2 linked regions of the Ovis aries genome follow. The protein of the gene in region 1 purifies or fractionates together with the protein of each later gene. This does not show direct contact. Links are inferred from orthologs where the notes say so. Each region holds a gene or a part of one and is shown in the gene's direction. Other genes may lie near its edges.

Region 1 (9,640 bases):
CCCTCCCCCAACCTACCCAAACCCCTGCATTTCCAAGCCACAACTGAGAGACCAGGCCCTGCTACTCAGTAAGGCAAGGAAAGAACTAACATTTGTCAGGAAGAATTTCAACAGCCCAAGTGGAAATGAGCTTAACCTTCAGCTGTCCTGAAAAATAAAGTTGACCCGAATTCCCCATTCTCTGGACATTTTTGTTGAGTTCACTGAAGTTCATTGGGTTGCCCTTGTGAAAAATGTATAATCTAACTCGGATGGTAAGAAAATGCTTCCTGTGGGGAAGACTGGTTCTGGTATGACCAATTCCCTTGGGACGCCTACTTCAGGCTTTGACCAAAGAGGTGGATGCCCCAGGCCTAGAATAGCTCCCTCTCCCAGCCTGCTCCCCCTGGCCCTCCATCTACCAAATCCCATCAAAGCCTGTCAAAGCCCATCTCCTCCAGGCTTCTCTGGCAACTACCCCCCTAACCCCTCAGCTCCCATCCTTCTTCCTGTTGCAGCTATTAAGTGTCTCTTTAAGCACCTAACCCCCTAATTCAGGTTTCAAGAATGCAGGGAACGTTTTTGTTCATTGTTTTACCCTAAAAGTTTGGACTAGTTCCTGGTACACAGTAGGCCTTCAATAAATATGGCATGAATGATTGAATGCTATCTCCTCACAGCACCTCTGGGACTGTGTTCCTCTAGATGTCTCTGCCCAGGAAATTCGCTGGGGCAAGGACTATGACTTGTCTTATTCATCTTTATCCCTGTCACTCATCCTTCTGCTTAATAACTACTTATTGAAAGAGGAAAGAAAGGAAGTCAATTTGGGGCATGTGCAATCCAGAAAGAATGGAGGTGGGGGGTCAGTGGGTAGAGTTATTTGGATTTCAAGGGTGTGGGTAATCCCGGAGAGGAACAAACTACTATATTTGCCTACCAATTTATTTACGCCTGCCTCCTTTCAGAGGGTTTGAGGTGGCTTACAAAAACACAAACATAATACAAGGTAACAAGTCGGTGAAGTCAGGATGAGGAGGAAGTAAGAGTAGGAAAAATAAGATCAAGTCAGCTCGTTTAGAAGCGGGCCAAAAAGTTGGCCAAGTTTTCCCACAGCCCTGTCGAGGCGGAAGGCTCTCTTCCTATTCCCCACCTCCCTCCCTCTCAGGGGCCACCACTGGCCGCCCAGGCCAGGGAGAGCGGCCCCGAGGTTAGCGCGCGGAGGGGAGGGGCCTGGAAGGGCGGCTAGCCTGGGAGCTTGGGCCTAGAGGCCTGGGCTGCCTTATGGGCCAGGGCAGACCGGCTCTGGGGGGGCTCGCCCAGGCCCAGGCGTGGGCGCCCGGGTGGCCGGCAGGGGCCTGTGACCCAGGCGGGTAGGGTAAGGGCTGAAGGCTCGCTCTTCCACTCAACGCTGCAGAAGTTCTCGAGCTGGCAACTCAAGGTTCTCCAGCCAAATGGACTCGCGGCCTACTAAGCGCTGGCTTGGCGGGCCGGGCACAAAGACGGAAGGAGCGGCGCGCCTTCCACCCCGCCCCACCCCCACTCCACACAAAGGGGCAGGCCGCCCCTCCCCCAGCCTCGCCCTCGCCTTCCCCCTCCACCCTCCTCTCCCTCAGGCCGCCCTTCGGTGACTTCCTCTCCCTTCCCGGGGCAGCCCGGAGACTTCTCAGGGACAGCCTTTCACCTGGGCGCGGGGCGGAGGGCGGGCGCGCGGAGGTCGGCCTCCCGGCCCGCTCCCCGCCCGGGCCCGCGCCCTCCTCCCTGAGCCCGCTCCGTTGGCCCCAGCGCCTTCCCGCCCTGGCGTCCCCGCCCCCACCCGGCCGAGCACGTGCTGCCCCCGGCCCGGCCCTGCCCCCCACCCCCACCGGAAACATTCCTGAGACATTCCTGAAACGGGGAGGCCCGGCCCCTCCGGTTCCCCACCCCGCCTCCATTCTGGGCGCAGGATTTTCCAGGCGTCCCCCCATCCGCCTCCACCCTCCAGCGCCGGTTCGCCCCCTGAGGAGGGGGCTGAGCCGAGGCCTCCGCTGACCGGGGAGGAAGAAGGGGAACACAGAGAAACATGAGTCACAGCCGTGTGTCACTGGGCCGCACTGCGAGTCCCTGCATCACGGGGAGATGGGGAAGGCCGCCTCGGGGACCAGGGGCGGGGAAGTGCGCCCGAGAAGGCCCCGGGCCCGGCCTGCAGGGCGCGCCCCTGACAGCGCCCTTTCTTCCCCCACCGCCCTCCCCGCCATCTTCCCGCTTGGGCTGCGCAATAGGTCTTTATGGCGCCAGGCGTGGCGGGGTACATCGTGCGCAGACTCATTCCCTGCCTTCAGAGTGCTTCCAGGCGACCACCGGGTCACGTTTTACTAAAAAAAAAAAAAGTCACAGCGGAAGGGGCCAGGGCACCCAGTGGGGCCGTTGGTCTCTACAACACCATCCGGGTCACTTAAAAGGAATGAGCCCTCCCCTCAGGTTTACCTGAAGAGGAGCCAATCGTTTACCTCGCGTGGAGGCCGCACCTTGATTATGGCTCACTCGGACCCATTAAATCTAAACTCTGGATCTCACAAGTTTCACGTTCGAGTTTCACAAGACCTTACATTTCACCAGTCAGCCACACACGGCTGGCACCGAAATGCACACGCTGACACCTGTCCGCCCAGGGGAAACTAAGGAGCCGCGTAATCTAGGCGGAGAGGGCGGCGGGTAGGCCGCGGGACTCTCTAACCGGCGTCCGCGCAGACCCCCGCAGGCACCGGCGCCCGCGCACATTCACGCGCCCGCGGGCGCCAGGCCTAACGCCCGGAAGGCCCCAGAGGCGTCTCTCGCGCGAGCCCACTCCACGCAGGGAACGCCCGCCCCTGGGAAGGGCTTCCTGGTGACCCCTCTCAACAGCTCCCCATGTCTGCCGGCAGGGGACTGCGGGGAGGGGGCCGCGTCCTCTGGGCCCCGGCCCGGCCCCCCTGCGCGCCCGCCCCCAGACGCCCGTCTCCGGACAGCCCTCGCCGTCGTCAGCACCCACCCGCGCGGCGGCGGCGGGCGGCCGCCCTTTTAAATCCCCAGGCTCATTTGCATGGCCCCGCCCCCCAGTGACACGGCTGGCGCGGGCGGGCCCGTCCCCCCTGCCCCTGGGTCGCTCTTTTTAAGCTCCCCTGAGCCGGGGCTGCGCTCCTCTAATTGGGACTCCGAGCCCGGGCTATTTCTGGCCCTGGCGCGGCTCCAAGAAGGCGTGAGTTCGCGGCCCCTCTGGTGGCTCCTTTTTTTTTTTTTTTTTAATCTATCATTTAAATAAATTATTTATTTATTGAGGCCGCGCACGGGCCGTGCCTAGCTTCCTGCCCCTCGCCATCCTTCGGGGGAGGTGGAATATTTTTGTGCTCCCCCCCCCGGCCTGGATGTGACATATAAATACCCCGCGGGGGCCAGGGCGGCGAGCACGCGGCGGCGGCGGCCTCTGAGCGCTTCTGCTCTCTCTCCCGGTTTCAGATCCGCATTTGCTACCAGCGGCGGCGGCGGCGGCGGCGGCGGAGCCAGGCCGGTCCTCAGCGCCCAACACCGTCGCTCCCGGCAGCTCGGAGCACGCACCGCAGGCCGGCAGCCGAGCTCGCGGTGAGTCCGTCCCGGGGCCGGCGGCGGAGGGGGGCGCCCGCGCCGCGGCCGCACGCCGCCCCCTCCTGCAAGCCGCCCCGGGGCTGCAGCGCGCGCCTCCGGCTTTATTCCCAGGCCGGGGCTGCGCGAGCCGCCGGCGGGGGAGGGCCGCGCGGCGCGGGGGGCGGGCGGTGGGGCCGGGCGGCGCGGGGAGGGCGCCCGCACCCCTGCCCCCGCGCCGCGGGCGCCGTGCGGGGGGCGGGGACCCGGGAGAAGCGCGCGGTGGGGGAGGGGGTGCGCGGCTGCGGCGAGCGCGAGTCGTGCACCCGGCGGCTCTCGGTGCACCTCGCGCGGCCGCCGCTCCCGCCCGAGCCCGAGCCCGAGCCCGGGCCTGTGCCGTGGGGGCGGGGAGAGGGGCAGGCTGGGGCGCGGCGGGAGAGCCCGGGGCCGGGCGGCCCCGCAGCCTGGGGAAGTTCTGTAAGTGGGGGTGTGGGATGGGCGGGAACCCCGCAATTCGGCCTGAACTCCGGGCTCGGCCTTTTATCCCGGCGCTCACTCCGCAGCCGAGGCCGACTCCCTGGCCTGGGTTTGGGGCTTCACCCCGACCCCACCTCTGGCCCGGCCTGCGCCTCTTCAGCCCCCCGGGCCCGGCCTGCCCTCCGCCCCCACAAACTGGTTTCTCTGCTTTGCTGGGCTCTGTTGGAACTAGTCCCTTTGACTCCCCGTTTCATTTTTTTTTTAAACTGGGGCTTTTATTTTGCGGGGAAGTCGCGGAGGGAGGCGGCTTTCTTCCTCTCCCCCGCGCGCGCCAGGTTTCCTGCCCCAAGGCGGGCTTGGGTGCCCCCTCTGGCAGGAAGTGGGGCCGGGTGCACCCTCGTGGCGGTGCATGCGGTCGGAGGGCACCGGTTTCCCGCGCCTGCACCCGCGGCCTGCGCCCCTCCCCCCGCGCGCTCCGGCCCCTCGTCCCTCCGGCCGACCAGCAACGGCCGGGCGCAGACACTTGCAGAGTCACCCAGGGCCGGTCTGGAGTAGGGGCGACAGGGGTTTTACCAGCCCCCGGGCGGGTAAGGAAACTGGCGGGCGAGAAGGGTCGCCAGGAACCCATTCCAATTTGCTCTGTGACCTTGGGCACCTCATCAACCCTTTCTCTAGGCTACTTTTTGGGAGGAAACGAGGCAGCCCCATGGTGATTTCCTAGAGTCATGCCCACGGATTGCCTTAGCGTTTGTGGCGCCCACATTGTGTGGAGAGGACAAGTCTGAGGCCCGAAAGGGCTTATTACCGACGATAGGACTGAAGTTGGGCCTCAAACGTGGCTTCTCCAAGCCAGGCCTCCCTGATGTTCAGAAACAGGTGGAAGAGACAAGCATTTGTTGGTCTCACCAGAGAGGGCCTCAGGCCTTAATTCAGTTCATGGAGGCCTGGATCTGGGGTGGGGGTGAGCGGATTAAAGGGTCCCCAGCAGCAAGAAGTGGGGAAATACCAGACGCACTCAACAGGGTCCCCAGGCAGGCTGGGCTGGGCCTTGTGGGATTAGGGGCTGGCTTCGCCCAACTAGAACCCCCTCTTGGAGGGGGCCTCCAGCAAACCTCATGTGAGGTCAGCGCTCATTTAGCTGATTAATTTTGATGTTTAGTTTTGAAGGGGGATCTGTGGTGTAATGTAAGATTCTAATCACTGCCTGTAATTACAGAGCAGGCCAAGCCACTAATGATGGAGCAGGATAAATCGCCAACCACCTTGTTTAAAAGGGTCTTCAAGTCTGAAATATTATGAAATGGAATAATTACCAGACGAAGTCTCGCCGTCTGGAGCATTTCAATACTTGAGAATCAGGGGCCTTAGGCCCCTCGTAACAATCACAAGTTTGCAAAAAAGACAGGCTTTCCTCTCTTTGGGTTAAAATTGGAAATAGTCTGAATCTGAAAAGGGAGAGTCATTTTCAAATGTTCTAGTTCTCATTTTGATTGGAATGAACCTTTCAGTTGTTTAAGCGTTTTTAATTTTTACCTAGTTTGATTCTTGCTGCAGACGTAGGCAAGACAGGTGGAGCATCATTACCTCCATTTTATAGGTTGAAGGGCTTTTCTGGAAGTAGAGCTACTTGGGCCCACCCTTTGCCAAGGGCAGCCTCCGAAGACCAATCTCTGTCTGTAACTTGGGGATACTAACTGGGAGGATAGGTGTGGGGGCCCCTTGTTGCTCTTTCTCAGCTTCTGGAAGAGACTCCCCAATACAGGTGCAGGTGCCCCTTGCAGAGGGTGGTTTTACATGAATTCTGTATTTGTAGGACTGATTAAGTCCAAAGAGTCCTCTTAAGAAGAGGGAATATGCTAGAAAAGGACCAAGGTGCTTTGAGGATCAGCACTCCTAGGGCTTCAGGGGGTCAGCTAGTGTTTTCTCCCTCTCAGTTGGAGAAGTCCCTGCCCCTCATGTGAGGAGGCATCAAAGAGAAAGATCCCATCTGACTCCAGATGGGTGCGAGTGGGCTGAGGGGAAGAGGAGACTCCCCTTTCAGCTTTGGGTGGTTTCCTTTCCTCCCCGCACCTCACCCAGTGTGGTTTTAGCCCCCATTTCCCAAATTGTTTGCATCTTTGACCCTCCAAGGTTTAACCCAGGGAGAGGGAAGCAGAGAGAACTGGTGGGGCCCTGGGCAGTGCTGTGGGCAAGGTGGCCCAGGGACTGGTGGCATGGCTGCCAGGCAGATGTGCAGGGCTCGTTCCTTGCTCGCCTCTCTTCCCGTGCTCCCCGCGAGCTACCCAGGCTTGGCTTGCCTTAAAAGAGAAGGGGCAGCACAGTGGAGGGGGGGGGCCTGGCAGCCTGAGGACCATCTCGCCCACACCTCAGCCGGGACGGCCTCACCCACAGCCAGGTCTGGGCTGGCTGCGCTCTTGAGTGGGGGTGGCAGGGCAACAAAGAGCCCTTCTGAGCAGGAGATAAGGCCCTGATTAGGGCCAACGGCCCAGCCCCACCCTGCAGCCTGCACGGCGGGCTGGGCAGACAACCCTAGGCCAGGGTGGGAGTCCTGGGGGGCCCTGGGAGAAGGCAGTTTCCTGCTGGGCGGGAGTGATGAGGGTCTGGAGGTGGCTAACGCAAGAAGTTTCATCTAAAACACTTTCCCTGCCTCCCAGCAGCCCAGCCGTGGCTCCTCGCCTGCTCTGCTGACGAGGGAAGATGAGCGAGTCGAGCTCGAAGTCCAGCCAGCCCCTGGCCTCCAAGCAGGAGAAGGACGGCGCTGAGAAGCGCGGGCGGGGCCGGCCTCGCAAGCAGCCTCCGGTGAGCCCTGGGGCTGCGCTGGCAGGAGGCAGCTGGCTGTCCAGACCTTCACCTTGGTTTACCTCTTAGGGCTAGGGAGGTTTCCGGCATCCTGGCAGGTGAAAACAGGACTGGCAGGGTGCGGCATCCTTCCTATACATATGTGCGCTCCCCACACACACGTCTCTGCTGCCCGAGACCCCGGGAGAGGAGTGTGGCCCAAGGGAGCGCTGAACCTGAGTTCAAGCCAGGAGTGAGCCTGTAGTCATGCAGGCCAGAGCTTCCACTGGTAAACCACTCACCTTTTATTTCCAGTCCATTGTGGACCAGTGTATTGAAGTATGGTGGCTCAGTGGTAAAGAATCTGCCTGCCAAGCAGGAGATGTGGGATCGATCCCTGGGTCAGGAAGATCCCCTGGAGGAGGAAATGGCAACCCACTCCAGTCTTCTTGCCCAGGAAATCCCATGGACAGAGGAGCCTGGTGGGCTACCGTCCGTGGGGTCATAAAAGAGTTGGAGGTGACTTGGCGACTAAACGCCAACAAAGATGAGTTATAGAAACGTGACCGTTTACGTACGTAAGCCCAGCAGCATGCGTGGCAGCACTCTGTTAACTTACTTAATGCTTCCTGTCCGTTTCTGGAGTTCTTCATCCCGGGGCAGGGGCCATCACCTGTTCTTGGGCTTCCTTGAGTGACCCTGCATTGGGCTCTGCCTGGTTCTGTAAAAGCCCGAAAGTTTACAACGTTGGGGAGTTGGTGGCAGAGTGACTCAGAGCCCTGGTTCTGGGCACCCTGGGGAGCTTGGCCAGTCAGGCTGTGTGGGCCACCTGTTACCTGGTGGAGACCTTGGTTTCTCGAGAGGGAGCTGTCCCACATGAGGGCGCAGCTGTGGGTGAAGCCCTGTTCCTTTCCTTTCCTGGGGGAGAGAAGGGGAAAGGAACTGAAGCTGATCCTTGTCCACCAGACCCCAGGCACGCCTCCCCGCCCCCACTGGGAATCTCCGTACTAGCTCTTGAGGAGCCGTGAGGAGTCTCATGGGTGGTGGAATTCATCTGTCTCTTTCAGAGCCCTTTTCACGGGTGGAGAAGTCACCCCCCTTAGTCTGATTCCTTTGGCCTCCCCCTGCTGCCTGTGGGCTTGTCAGTGAGGGGTGTCAGAAGGGGTGTGCGGTTACTGGGCGATGAACAGCCCACCGGCAGCCACCCTGGGAAACCACCACTGATGTGCCTTTACTGCCCGGCTTCTGTGCATTATGTAGCAGCTTTTTATTCTATCTCGGGTCTATTAAAGTTTTAGTGGCCCAAATGGCAGGGGTCTCTGGGGTTCCAAGATGTGGACATGAGTCCTCCCTAGGAGGCAACCTGGAAGGAGTCTGGTTTGCAGGGAGAGCTGGAGGCTCCTTCTAGGGGAAGGGGCATCCTTTCTCCTCTTCTGCATCCCTGCCTTCTGGCGGAGGTGGGGGTGGGGTGGGCAGTGATGACAGCCCAGTACTGCAGACTGTCCTGTCTTCATTCAGCATCTGGCCCAAGATCTGAGAGCTGGTCAGAGGCTGAGCTGGGGTGTGGACAGAGCTATCTCGTGTCTTTCTGCCCCCACGACACCCTTCCCAGAGGCCTTCTGGTGTCTTGTCATTTTGCTGTTGCAGAGAAGCTAGGGGAAAGGCTTTGCAAAAGAATGTCAGATGGAGAACCTGAATCCCAAGGGTTACCTGCCATGGTTCCTGTGCATTCTGGAGTGGGGGCGGGCAGACCACTGCTGGGCTGGGGCAGAGGGCTCTGTCCTGAAGGGACAGGGAAGGTGGCTTCCACGTCTCTGACTGTCTCATCTGTCTTTGCAGAAGGAGCCCAGTGAAGTGCCAACACCTAAGAGACCTCGGGGCCGACCGAAGGGGAGCAAAAACAAGGGTGCCGCCAAGACCCGGGTGAGGCTTATGGGGGGCCCTCTGCCCTGACAGCAGCCATGGGCGGCCTGGTCTGTCCTAATTCTCTGCACCCGCTTCTGGCTTATGGGTGGTGACGGGCCTGTGCCAATGGAGGCGAGGGGGGGCCAGTGACTGAGGTCTCACTTCTGGGCCTTGGCCCGTCCAGGACAGTGGGGAAGTCAAGGTGTCCAGCAGGTTTCCTGGTCTGGAGAGGCAAGGGGGCAGCTCCACCCGGGGCTGAGACTGTCACCTTCTCTGTGGGAGGTCCCCTGGCTCCTGCAGGAATGAGGGGGGAGGCCAGATTCATAGTGGCATCAGCCTTTCAGAGAAGTTGTTTTGTTTTTTATTTTATTTTTTCTAAGACACGACTCATATCCTCTTGAGTCATGGGTGGAGGAGGGAGTTGGGGGGCGTGTGTGTATGTTGGGGTGGGGGGGCAGTGTGGCTGGCCAGTCATCACCAGCTGGACTCGGGTGGGCCTGCTGGGGTGGGAGTCCTGGGCCGCCCCTCCCTGCTGTCCCTCACCATCTGGGGCACTGGTCATTGGGTGGGCACCATCGGGGACATTTTTGACTTAGTGGATCTTTTTTCTGACCATCTAGAAAACCACCACAACTCCAGGGAGAAAACCAAGGGGCAGACCCAAAAAACTGGTAGGTGACTGGGGCAGAGGCAGCTTGGTTCTTCTGGGGAGACTGTTGAAGAGTGAGTGATGCTCCATCCTGTGCGCCCACAGAGGGAGATGGCTCTCCCTGACCTGCAGGGCCAGCAATGGTGGGACTTCACGTTTTCACCCAGGCCTAGGGAGGGAAAGGGTTTGTCCAGGGCCCCCGGACTCCTGGCACTCAGCCTAGGGCTTCTGAAGAGCTGTGTCCGTGAGAAGTGTAGGGTCCCGGGTACAAACCAG
Region 2 (9,640 bases), on another chromosome or scaffold:
TTCCAGCTTGTGTTTCTTCCAGCCCAGCGTTTCTCATGATGTACTCTGCATATAAGTTAAATAAGCGGGGTGACAATATACAGCTTTGACGCACTCCTTTTCCTATTTGGAACCAGTCTGTTGTTCCATGTCCAGTTCTAACTGTTGCTTCCTGACCTGCATATAGGCAGCTCAAGAGGCAGGTCAGGTGGTCTGGTATTCCCATCTCTTTCAGAAATTTTCACGTTGTAAGCCCTCCATAATACTTGTTGGATGCAAGGTGAACAAATGAATGTGTGAGAAGTAGATCCCATTCGTAGGCTTGAAAGGGAAGTTCTGTGATGCCAATAAACCTTAATTTTGCACTTGACCTTTTCCTGTCCTCCTCTGGAAAACCCTGATGATATACTGTGTGCAGTGGTGGACTTTGGGAGAACAGCAGTGAATGAAGTTGAGCTCTGTCCTGAATTCAGAGTTTAATTCTCCACTTTTTGGTTTTACCCTGTAATAGTGAATCTCTCTTTAACAGAGGACATAATGACCTGTGATTAGGAGCATGCCTGTCATCTGAGCATCTTCACAGAGGTAAAAACGCTTGGTGACTCTCACTGTTCACATCTACCTTTGTGTTCAGCCTGGCTTTCTGCTTCACCTAGGTCCCTTTAGTAATTTGGGATTCATACTCAATAATTGGGGGTTCATACATGCTTTCTTCTTTCCCAGCTTGAAAATCTTTAGGTAATTTTTCTTAGTATCTAAAATGAAATACTTCTTCCTCCCAACTTTCCTGTATTTGTGAATATACAAAGTTGAGTTGCACAATAACATATGTCCTCCATATATTATTAAATCTTTTGGCAATGTTTTCAATATATCCTCTTTTTTTGCCACACTGTGACCTAAAACATCTTACTTCACTGGATAATGTTGTCCCTGAATTAAGACTATTGTAATTCACTGGCACCCCCAGTTCCTGCTCCAGGTCAGCCTTCGTATTATATTTAACATAAATATGTATGGTAAATATAAATTCTACAATATTCGTTCTCTTAATTTGCTCTCTCACTCTTTGCCAACTGGAGTTCTCAGCTCTACTTATACTCCACCTAATCCTGAGGAGCACATGTTCATTCTCAAGTGCCCTCACTCCCATAAATCTAAATCTTACACTTGCTTTATTGTCTGGCTAAAATATCCTTTCCTGAGGTATTTTTTTGGGGGGAACATCTTGATCCAATGTCATTTCTTGATTCTAAATGCCTTAGCAACTCACATGACAGTTCATGCTATGCTGTGTGTTTGTATATTGCTTGGATTTGCTTACAATCTCTAAAAGAATTTCCTTTATCTTTCTTTAAAAAATGCCCACATTTTAATATGAGGTAAAATCAATAATTTGATTAGTGATTTAGGGATGAAGTTAACTTTTGAGATTTAAATGCTTAAGCAATTGTAAATTAGTGGTCTAGATGGAAGTGGTCTAGATGGAGGCCTTGTACCATGGACTATGAATGTCTGTCCAGTAGAAGACAGATGGAATTGTTACATTAGCTTATAGTTACCTCTCAGATGCATAGGGCTTTCAAGGTGGCTCATTGGTTAAGAATTCACCTGCCAACGGAGGAGAGGCAGGAGACTCAGGTTCAATCCCTGGGTCGGGAAGATGCACTGCAGAAAGAAATGGCAACCCACTCTAGCATTCTTGCGGGGGAAATCCCATGGACAGCCTGGCTGGCTATAGTCCATAGGGTGGGCAGAATCCGATAGACTGAGGAACTAAGCACACACGCACTCAGATGCATAACTTGCTTTTGCCCTATTATCATTTATTCATGCTTTTATTTGGGCACAGGATTGTTTTCTATCTTTTGCTTTCGTCACTCCAGTATTCTTGCCTGGAGAATTCCATGGACAGAGGGCGGCAAGGTATAGCCCGTGGGATCGCAGAGTCGGACACTACTGTGTGACTTTCACTTTCACACTTTAATATGTGAGGAACGGAACCGTGATTTAGGAAAGGCAGTAGATCAGTGGGTTAAATGACTGTTCCAGTCTCTGGGAACACAAAGAGAGCAACTAGTTATTAAAAATCTTAGTCATTTAAAAATTAAATAAAATACTAAAAGCATGATTCCGTTAAAGCATGATTCCGTTAGGCTTTTAGCTCGAGCTCATAGGTGACCGTCTTCCCTGCCCCGCACGTGAGCTCTCAATTTGGAATCTCAGTTTATGTGGGTGAGGGGGTTACTTTGCCCTATAGTTACACCCTACTAAAAAAAAAAATCGGAATAACCTTAACTTCACTGCCAGATAAATCAAAAAGGGCGACTGTATCCTAAGTGGAATAGCACTAACTCCTCTGGGTGGAGACAGGCTCACCCCATGATCTTTTTTTTTTTTTTTAATACTTGAAAAATGCTGGCATCTTAATACTTTGTAGAGAAGTTAGCACGAGGGACATGAACAATCATCCTTGATAAATGATTTTTAACGCTGACACGTGCTTGGCACTGCAACACTGGAAAGGGTTTGAACAAGGCGCTCTGAATGAGGAATCTGAAATAATCGTGACTTCTCTCTTTCCCAGGGTTTCTAAGGCGATGGGCACTGTGGGATCGACTAGCCAAAGTCCAGTGGGACCCGAGTCGGGCCAAGCGGCCGAGGGGCGGCAGCAGACAAAAGTAGCCGGCAGGGCGCTCCGCTCGGCTCGGGGGACGGCGCATCGGCCACGCCGGAGGGCGGGAGGCTCGCAGCTCCTCGCCCGAGACCAGCCGGGCTGGAGCTGGGGCCGTAGAGGGCGTCTGGCCGGCAGACCGGGCGCCGCGAGCCCTCGTGTCCGGCTCTTCCCGCCCGCCGGCCGGCCGGCCAGGGCCTCCGCTGCGCGCGCGGGGAAAAAGAGCGCGGCAGTTGAAACCGTTACCACCCCGAGTTTTGAACTGGTTCAAACTTGGCTTTCGGCCCCGCCCCGCCCCTCCGGCCCGGGAACACCGAAGCGGCGGTTCCCGCCAAGCGCCGCGAGCGCGCCGTCCCGCCCTCCGGCCGGTTCCCGCCACCCCGCCCAGCCCGCCTTCCCGCCCGCGGTTTGGGGATTCGGGCTCCGGAGGCCCTTCTTCCCCGAACGCCGGCCCCACCGCCTTCCTGAGAGGCGCCGGGCGTTCGGAGAAAAGAACAAAGAGCCGGCGCGGCGCTTCCACTCAGGCGGCAGCGTCCCTCAGCGCCTGCCCGCCCGCGCGCACGCGCCGCCGGCCCGGCCCGGCAGAGTCCCGCGGGCGCCTCTGCGTGGGGCTGGCTCGGCGCCTCAGAGGCCGGCGGGCCCTGTGATTGGACGGGAGCCCGCCTCGCGTCCCGCCAATCGGGGCGGCGCTTGGTTGGACAGGGGGGGCCAAATAAAAGCGATGGCGATTGGGCTGCCTGGTTTGGCGCTCGGTCCGGGAGCGTCCGACACCCACTGGGACGCAGAAGGCGGTGGAGCCCCGGCGGCGGCGGCAGCGGTGGCGCGCGGGAGCGGCGCGCGGGAGCGGCGCGGGCTGGGGCGCGGGGCGCAGGTAACGCGCCGCTGTCGGGCCGGCAGGCCGGCCGGCCGGCGGGGCTCCGGAGCTCGGCGTGGGGCGGCGGCGGCGGGACATCTCCGCTGCCGCTCAGCCGGTCCGGGTAATCCTCCCCCCACCCCCACAAGCGGGCTTTCCCGGGGAGCCTCTGGGGCTCGTGGGGGTGAGAAGAGACCTCCCCTCACCCCCCTCGGAAAGGGCTGTGGGCCCGGGCCGATCCGCGCGACCCCCGCGGGCGGGCTGTGTGGGAGCCAGAGAAACCCGAGGCGGGAGCCCGGGCGGGCGCCGAGCGGAGGGTTTGCGGGGGGGGGGGGGTCCCCTCGCGCGCCCGTTCCTCCCGAGGCGCCGGGGCCGGGCTGGGGGCGCTCGGGTGCCCGGGGCGGGCCGGCCGCCCGAGCCCCCGGTCTCCTTTGTGTGGAGCGGCACGGCGGCGGGAGCGCCCGGGTGGGACGGGACCCACACAAGTTGATGGGACCTCAGCGCCGAGTGCGCACTCAGAGACAAAGGACGGACTGTGTCTCGGGGGAGCTCGGCGCGAGTCAGGGGCAGTGACACCGGGGCCTGACAGCGGGCGGAGAGGGGGCGTGGGGAGCGGGCGGGCGGGCTCGGCCCCACGCCCCCTCCCCGCGAGCGCGCAGGCTCGGCCCGGGGCCGCGGGGGCCGGGACGGCGCGCGGAGACCGGACTCGGGCGTCCGCGCTTGCTGACATTTCCGCCGAAAGCTGCCCCGGAGCCCTGAGGCCCCGAGCCCCGCTCGGACCAGGCGGTCCCCGGCCGCCTCTGTCGTCTCGGCGGGGCTCTCCGTTAAGTTTGAGGGGCGGGTCGCGCTGTTCTACCCCCCACCCCCGCCCCCATCTCCGCGGTTTTGTTCGTTACGGAGGGCTTTCCGTCGAGTTCACGCGTCCTTGTGGGCCCCCCACCCCCATCTCCGCCTCCCCAAAAGTCGGTGCCTCAGGGTCACTTTGTGAAGAACGGGAGGGATCGAGAAGCGTGGTATTTTGGAAAACTTAGTGAACTCAACGCCTGGTGAATCCCCAGTTTCTGAAGAATCATCATCTTCCAAAAAAAAAAAAAAAAAAAGAAACCTGTCCAGGCTGTTTTGGCCAACTCGTGTGAGACTGGCGACAGGTGCTAACGAAATCAGCTGTCATTTAGTGAGGAGAGATTGTTCCCCGAATCCCTAGGGGATGAACGGGGAAGAGATGGTACAAAGAGTTGGTCCAAAGAAAACGCTTATGCTAAATGTGTGTTTGGATGGTATGGTTAGCAATTTCTCATTAATTGGACTTGTTTTCCGTGAACAATAGCTTTGTTGAGTCAGAAAAGACTGGCTGCAGAAATGTTCGTTGCCTAAGAAATCGAACGTGTGCTGTCCGCAGTTAAGCTACTTTGTCGCACGGGATCTGTAAAATTTTAATTCATTTGGAAATAAAGATGTCTTTGGTATTTAAAAATGCTTTAAATGCTGCACGGTTTGCTAGCTGGGTTTGAAAGGTCGTTATCAGCTTAGTTTTGTGGCGTTTCAATGTCACATAAAACAACATTTAAAACAACAGTTTAAAAAAGCTTTTAAAAAACACTAATGCTAACACAGGTGAATGTAGTCTGTACTTCTAGGGGGGTTTGAGATCGAGCGGGTGGGATCCTAACCCTTAGATCACTAGGGAGCTAGGGGGGTTGGTTGTGGAGTTTATTTTCTATTACTCCTTATGACCATTAGCAAATATTTTATGTTTGGAGATAAAATGTAGAGCAAGTGTGTAATCCTAACTATTGATCATTTTATTTGCAAGAAAACGAAAGTATTCAAGATACATTTTAATTTCCTTTTCCTATTCCCTAAAGTTAGGAATAGATGGGGTTCTAGTCTTAGATATAGAGAATCCTATTCTCTTTTTGGAGGTGTGTGAGAGAATGTAATGTTTAAAGTCTTGGAAACACTTAGGAAAATGGCATCTTAAATATTAATTTTTGTGGAAAGTGAACGTATTCAAAGGAACGAAATTTAGAAACACTTAGACACTCTTCTTATTTGCATTGTTTTATCTGTTGATCTAATGTGCAGCCTTCTATTTTACGGTTTCAAAAAAGTGGAGACAAAGAAATGTAGTGTAAAAGTCTTACACATTTTGCAGTGTTCAACATCACTGAACTGACATTCCAGGTGCTGTTCCTAAGTATTGTCTACATTTATATTAGTTGTTGGTAATTATAAAAAGTCCTACTGATAATCTTGCCCATTGTTAGGAGGTGAGCTAGTTATGCAGATTTTGGCAGAAATTTGAATCTTTTAGAATACAAAATTCAGTTTTCCCCATCTTGTGTACATTATATTTGATAATTACTATCTTTGTACTTGCCACAAGATTTTGTTTGAAAAGGTTTTTGGGGGAATTGGTTTTAAATTTTTTGTGTTTGAATTGAGAGTGTATTTAGTTTAAGTAGCAGTGATAAAAAACTATGCTTGTTGATTTAGTATAGTTAGGCAAAGAAAAAGAGCACAAATTCGTTTATACCAGCTTTGCCTTGCATGCATACGTAAAAGTGATTATCTTTGTGTTGACCACTAGAAATGTGTAGGTAGATTTCCCCAGGTCGCATGGAGATTTTCCAGGATATCCCCCATCCTTTGAGCTGGCATGCTCCAGGAGTCTGAGTTAGTTTCTGACTTGGCCTAAAGAAGTGATTAAGAAAGTTGATCTGCTTTTTAAAAACTAACAGCAAGGAAAAATCCTATGATGAGCTAATGAATTCTGGAGTCAGTTGGAAATGATTTATGGATCTGCCTTGCAGTCTTTATGTCCATACAAATGAAGAAAACATTTTCTGTGAATGATGACTTCTACGTGGGCAGGTGAAGTGTGCAGTTTGGGGAGAGCAGAAGAGGAACAGCTTATTAAGTTCAGAGAAAGCTTCACCTGCTGGAGGCCTTCCATGTCTCTTCAAGGGCTTCGTTGGTATTCTTTACTATAGCCTGTATCCAATTGAAATCACTTGCTGGTGCCATCCCTCCCTTCCCTCTGAAGTGCCTTGAGGCAGAGGCTCTGTCTTAGTTTTCTTTGTGCACCTGAGTTGCTAGAGAGCAGGGATTAATAGTTGAATGAATAAAGGAAATCCTGAAAATATAGGGAAATATTTTGACAAAGCAACTTGGAAAGCAAACAGGATATATTCATGTTGTGAAGAGCTTTGGAAGGTATTTTTCTCCCTGAGTGGCAGTGGTTACAAAGAAAAATAATTATCAAGGTGTACAAGTTCCATGGTTTCTCCTAATTATTAATACCCTAAGATACTGAAAATCGGATACACTTTAGATGTAACTGTTGGTTTTCGTATTTGGTATTTCAGGCAGCCAGAGAGAAGCTTGATGGGTCGTCTGGATATACCTGGCATATAGTATCTGCTTAAATTGTGTTGAAATTGACCGAAATTTAGGGGACGAATACGTCTTTTAATCAAAAGGGGTTTAGTTACCATTAATGAGTTCTTGATTGGAATAACTTGAGCTAGGTTTTGAAGCTAAAACTGAAGAAAGTAGTATTAGTGTAGTTACTGATTGTTTATTGGGATGCTCCTCATCATTCTTTTAAGATGGTAAATGTAGTTGTGAATCCAATAATATCTCAAAAGGCGCAGCTGATAAATTTGTAAGGTGGTTGCACTGTTTTTGTCTTGCCGTTGCACTGCTATGTGGTGCAAAAATATGACAAAGTGGAAAAAAAGACATTAATATTAAAGAGCCTACTGTTTGCCAGATGCTTCATTCGTTTGCTTGGTTTGTTTTTTATTGTGGTAATATTCACATCAGGTGCTTTGTTTTTAATTCTTGCGAGAACCACCTTGGGCTCATCAGCAGAGGTTTGGATAAATGAAACATGTTGTGTACATACAATGGAATGTTCAGCGATTGAAGGAATGACATATTGAGACATACAATAACGTAGGTGAAACTTGCAAATGGTATGCTAAGGAGAATAAGCCAGACACACAAGGAAACAGTTTATGATTCCATTTATAGGAGGTAGCTAGAACAGGCAAATTTACAGAGACAGAAGGTAGAACGAGGGGTTACCAGAAGCAGAGGGGAGATGGGAATGGGAAGTTAGTGTTTAATTGGGACAGAGCTGCTATTTGGAAGGTGAAAAAAACTTTGGACATGGAAGGTCAATGTTTTGAATGTGTTTAATGCCTCTGAATGGTGTGCTTAAAAATGGTTGAAATGGTAAATTTTATGTGTATTTTACTGTTAAAAGAACTTTAACAACAGCACACTCTGCAAACATTTACAGATAAGTAAGCTTTGGTGTAGAGGGTTAAGAATTTGCCCAGGATTATCAGCTAGGAATTTGCAGGCAGGATCCAAACTTAGATTCTGTTTGGCTCCTATTATCAGCTTCACGTTATCTACTTGTCTTCTGGATGATTGAAGGCAATCATGGGTTCCAAGAAGAATGAGTTTATTTGAATCAATCAGAAAATTATATTTAAAAGTAGATAAATTGTAGTTCAGACTGAACTGAACTGAATTGTAGTTTTATGGGATCTGATGCCCCAGACTAAGTAAAAGATGTCTTTGTGGATTTTTTTTCAGCCAGAATTCTAATAGAGTGCACTCTGGGGGGAAGATAGGAAAGCTTTGAGTGTGGTCTTTGGAGTCATATAACTTGGGTACCCTGTCACATTGTCCTTGAAGTCTAAGTTCCTTGTGTGTAAATTGGTGTCTTAATGATAAGCATTCATTCCATAAGGTTATGGAGAGGATTAAATAAATGAATACACGTGAAGCTCTTAGTGAGTCTTTAATAAGTGAGTCTTAGTAACTGTGCCAGTATTATTTTTTAAAGACTAGATGTACTTTCTCATTCATGGAACTAAACACTTCCCAAACTTAAATATCTGTATATAAAGAAAATAGTGCCACATAGGATTTATATGTTTACTTCTAATTGTCTATTGTTTAAAAAAACAGACACTATGTATTCAATTTAAAATACTGACATAATTTAGATGTTTATCAAGTGAACATTTCTTGATCCCTGTAACCCCATTCCGTGTCCATTAACAGTTTGCTGTGTATTCGTCCCAAACTTTCCAGTGTATTCGCGCGAATATATTGGTTTGGCCAAAAAGTTCCTTCAGTTTTAAAAGTGAAAATAAAGACACATTTTTCCATTTTCATCAAGGACTTTTTTGAACAATGTATTCACCATTTTGTTCTACTGCCTTTTGCTATTTTCCAGGCAGCTTCATAGTTCTGTTTCCCCAAATCTTTTTATCTTTTTGAATAAAGAACTGTCTAGGTGCCTTTTATTGTGTTCCAGGGAATTGAATTTTTTCCTTTAAGATAATTTTGTGAAGACTGAAATAAATGGGAATCCAAAGGTGCAATGTCTGACGAATATGGTGGATGAATCAGAACTTCCCACCCAAGCTGTAACAGTTTTTGCCTGGTCATCAAAGAAACATGTGGTCTTGGGTTATCCTGACGGAAGATTATGGTTTGCTGTTGACTAATTCCAGACGCTTTTTGTGGAATGCTGCTTTTAGTAGTTGGTCTGATTAGGAGCAGTGGGTGCGTGCATGCTTAGTCGTTAAGTGGTGTCAGACTCTTTCCAACCCTGTGGACTGTAGCCCATGAGGCTCCGCTGTCCATGGAATTTTTCAGGCAGGAATACTGGAGTAGGCGGCCATTTCCTCCTCCAAGGGATCTTCCCGACCCAGGGACCGAAGTTGATTCTCCTGCACCTCCTGCGTTGGCAAGTGATTACCACTGAGCCACCTGGAAAGCCAGCTGGAAGCAGTACTTGTTGGAATTAATCAGTTGCTTTTCTGAAAGAAGCTCATGATAGAGGACTCCTTCCAATCCCTCCATATACACAACTTCACCCTTTTTGGATGAAGGTTGGCCTTTGGTGTGGTTGGTGGTGGTTCATTTTGCTTGCCCCACGATCTCTTCTGTTCCACATTATTGTACAGTACCCACTTTTCATCCCCCGTCACAATCTGTTTTAAAAATGGAATGTTTTCATTATGTTTCAGTAGAGAATTGCATATGGAAATACAGTAAAGAAGGGCCCCCCTCCCCCTTAAGTGGAACCCAAACATCAAAGCGAT

The links. Proteins that work in one complex are often made in the same cells at the same time.
Region 2: the proteins of HMGA1 (region 1) and EZH2 purify together in Homo sapiens (affinity purification with mass spectrometry; 3 studies listed by BioGRID and IntAct, with this or other methods). This does not show direct contact. The link is inferred for Ovis aries from reciprocal best matches to the Homo sapiens genes HMGA1 and EZH2.

The regions. Positions count from the first base shown.
Region 1 is NC_056073.1:8,457,887-8,467,526, forward strand, and holds the start of HMGA1 (high mobility group protein HMG-I/HMG-Y), read left to right. Parts: upstream 1-3,105; 5' UTR 3,106-3,196; intron 3,197-3,453; 5' UTR 3,454-3,576; intron 3,577-3,870; exon of another isoform or gene 3,871-4,619; intron 4,620-6,686; 5' UTR 6,687-6,729; coding exon 6,730-6,831; intron 6,832-8,649; coding exon 8,650-8,733; intron 8,734-9,335; coding exon 9,336-9,386; intron 9,387-9,640. UniProt on the Homo sapiens protein: HMG-I/Y bind preferentially to the minor groove of A+T rich regions in double-stranded DNA. It is suggested that these proteins could function in nucleosome phasing and in the 3'-end processing of mRNA transcripts.
Region 2 is NC_056057.1:113,211,130-113,220,769, reverse strand, and holds the start of EZH2 (histone-lysine N-methyltransferase EZH2), read left to right. Parts: upstream 1-3,397; 5' UTR 3,398-3,524; intron 3,525-3,614; exon of another isoform or gene 3,615-3,630; intron 3,631-9,640. UniProt on the Homo sapiens protein: Polycomb group (PcG) protein. Catalytic subunit of the PRC2/EED-EZH2 complex, which methylates 'Lys-9' (H3K9me) and 'Lys-27' (H3K27me) of histone H3, leading to transcriptional repression of the affected target gene.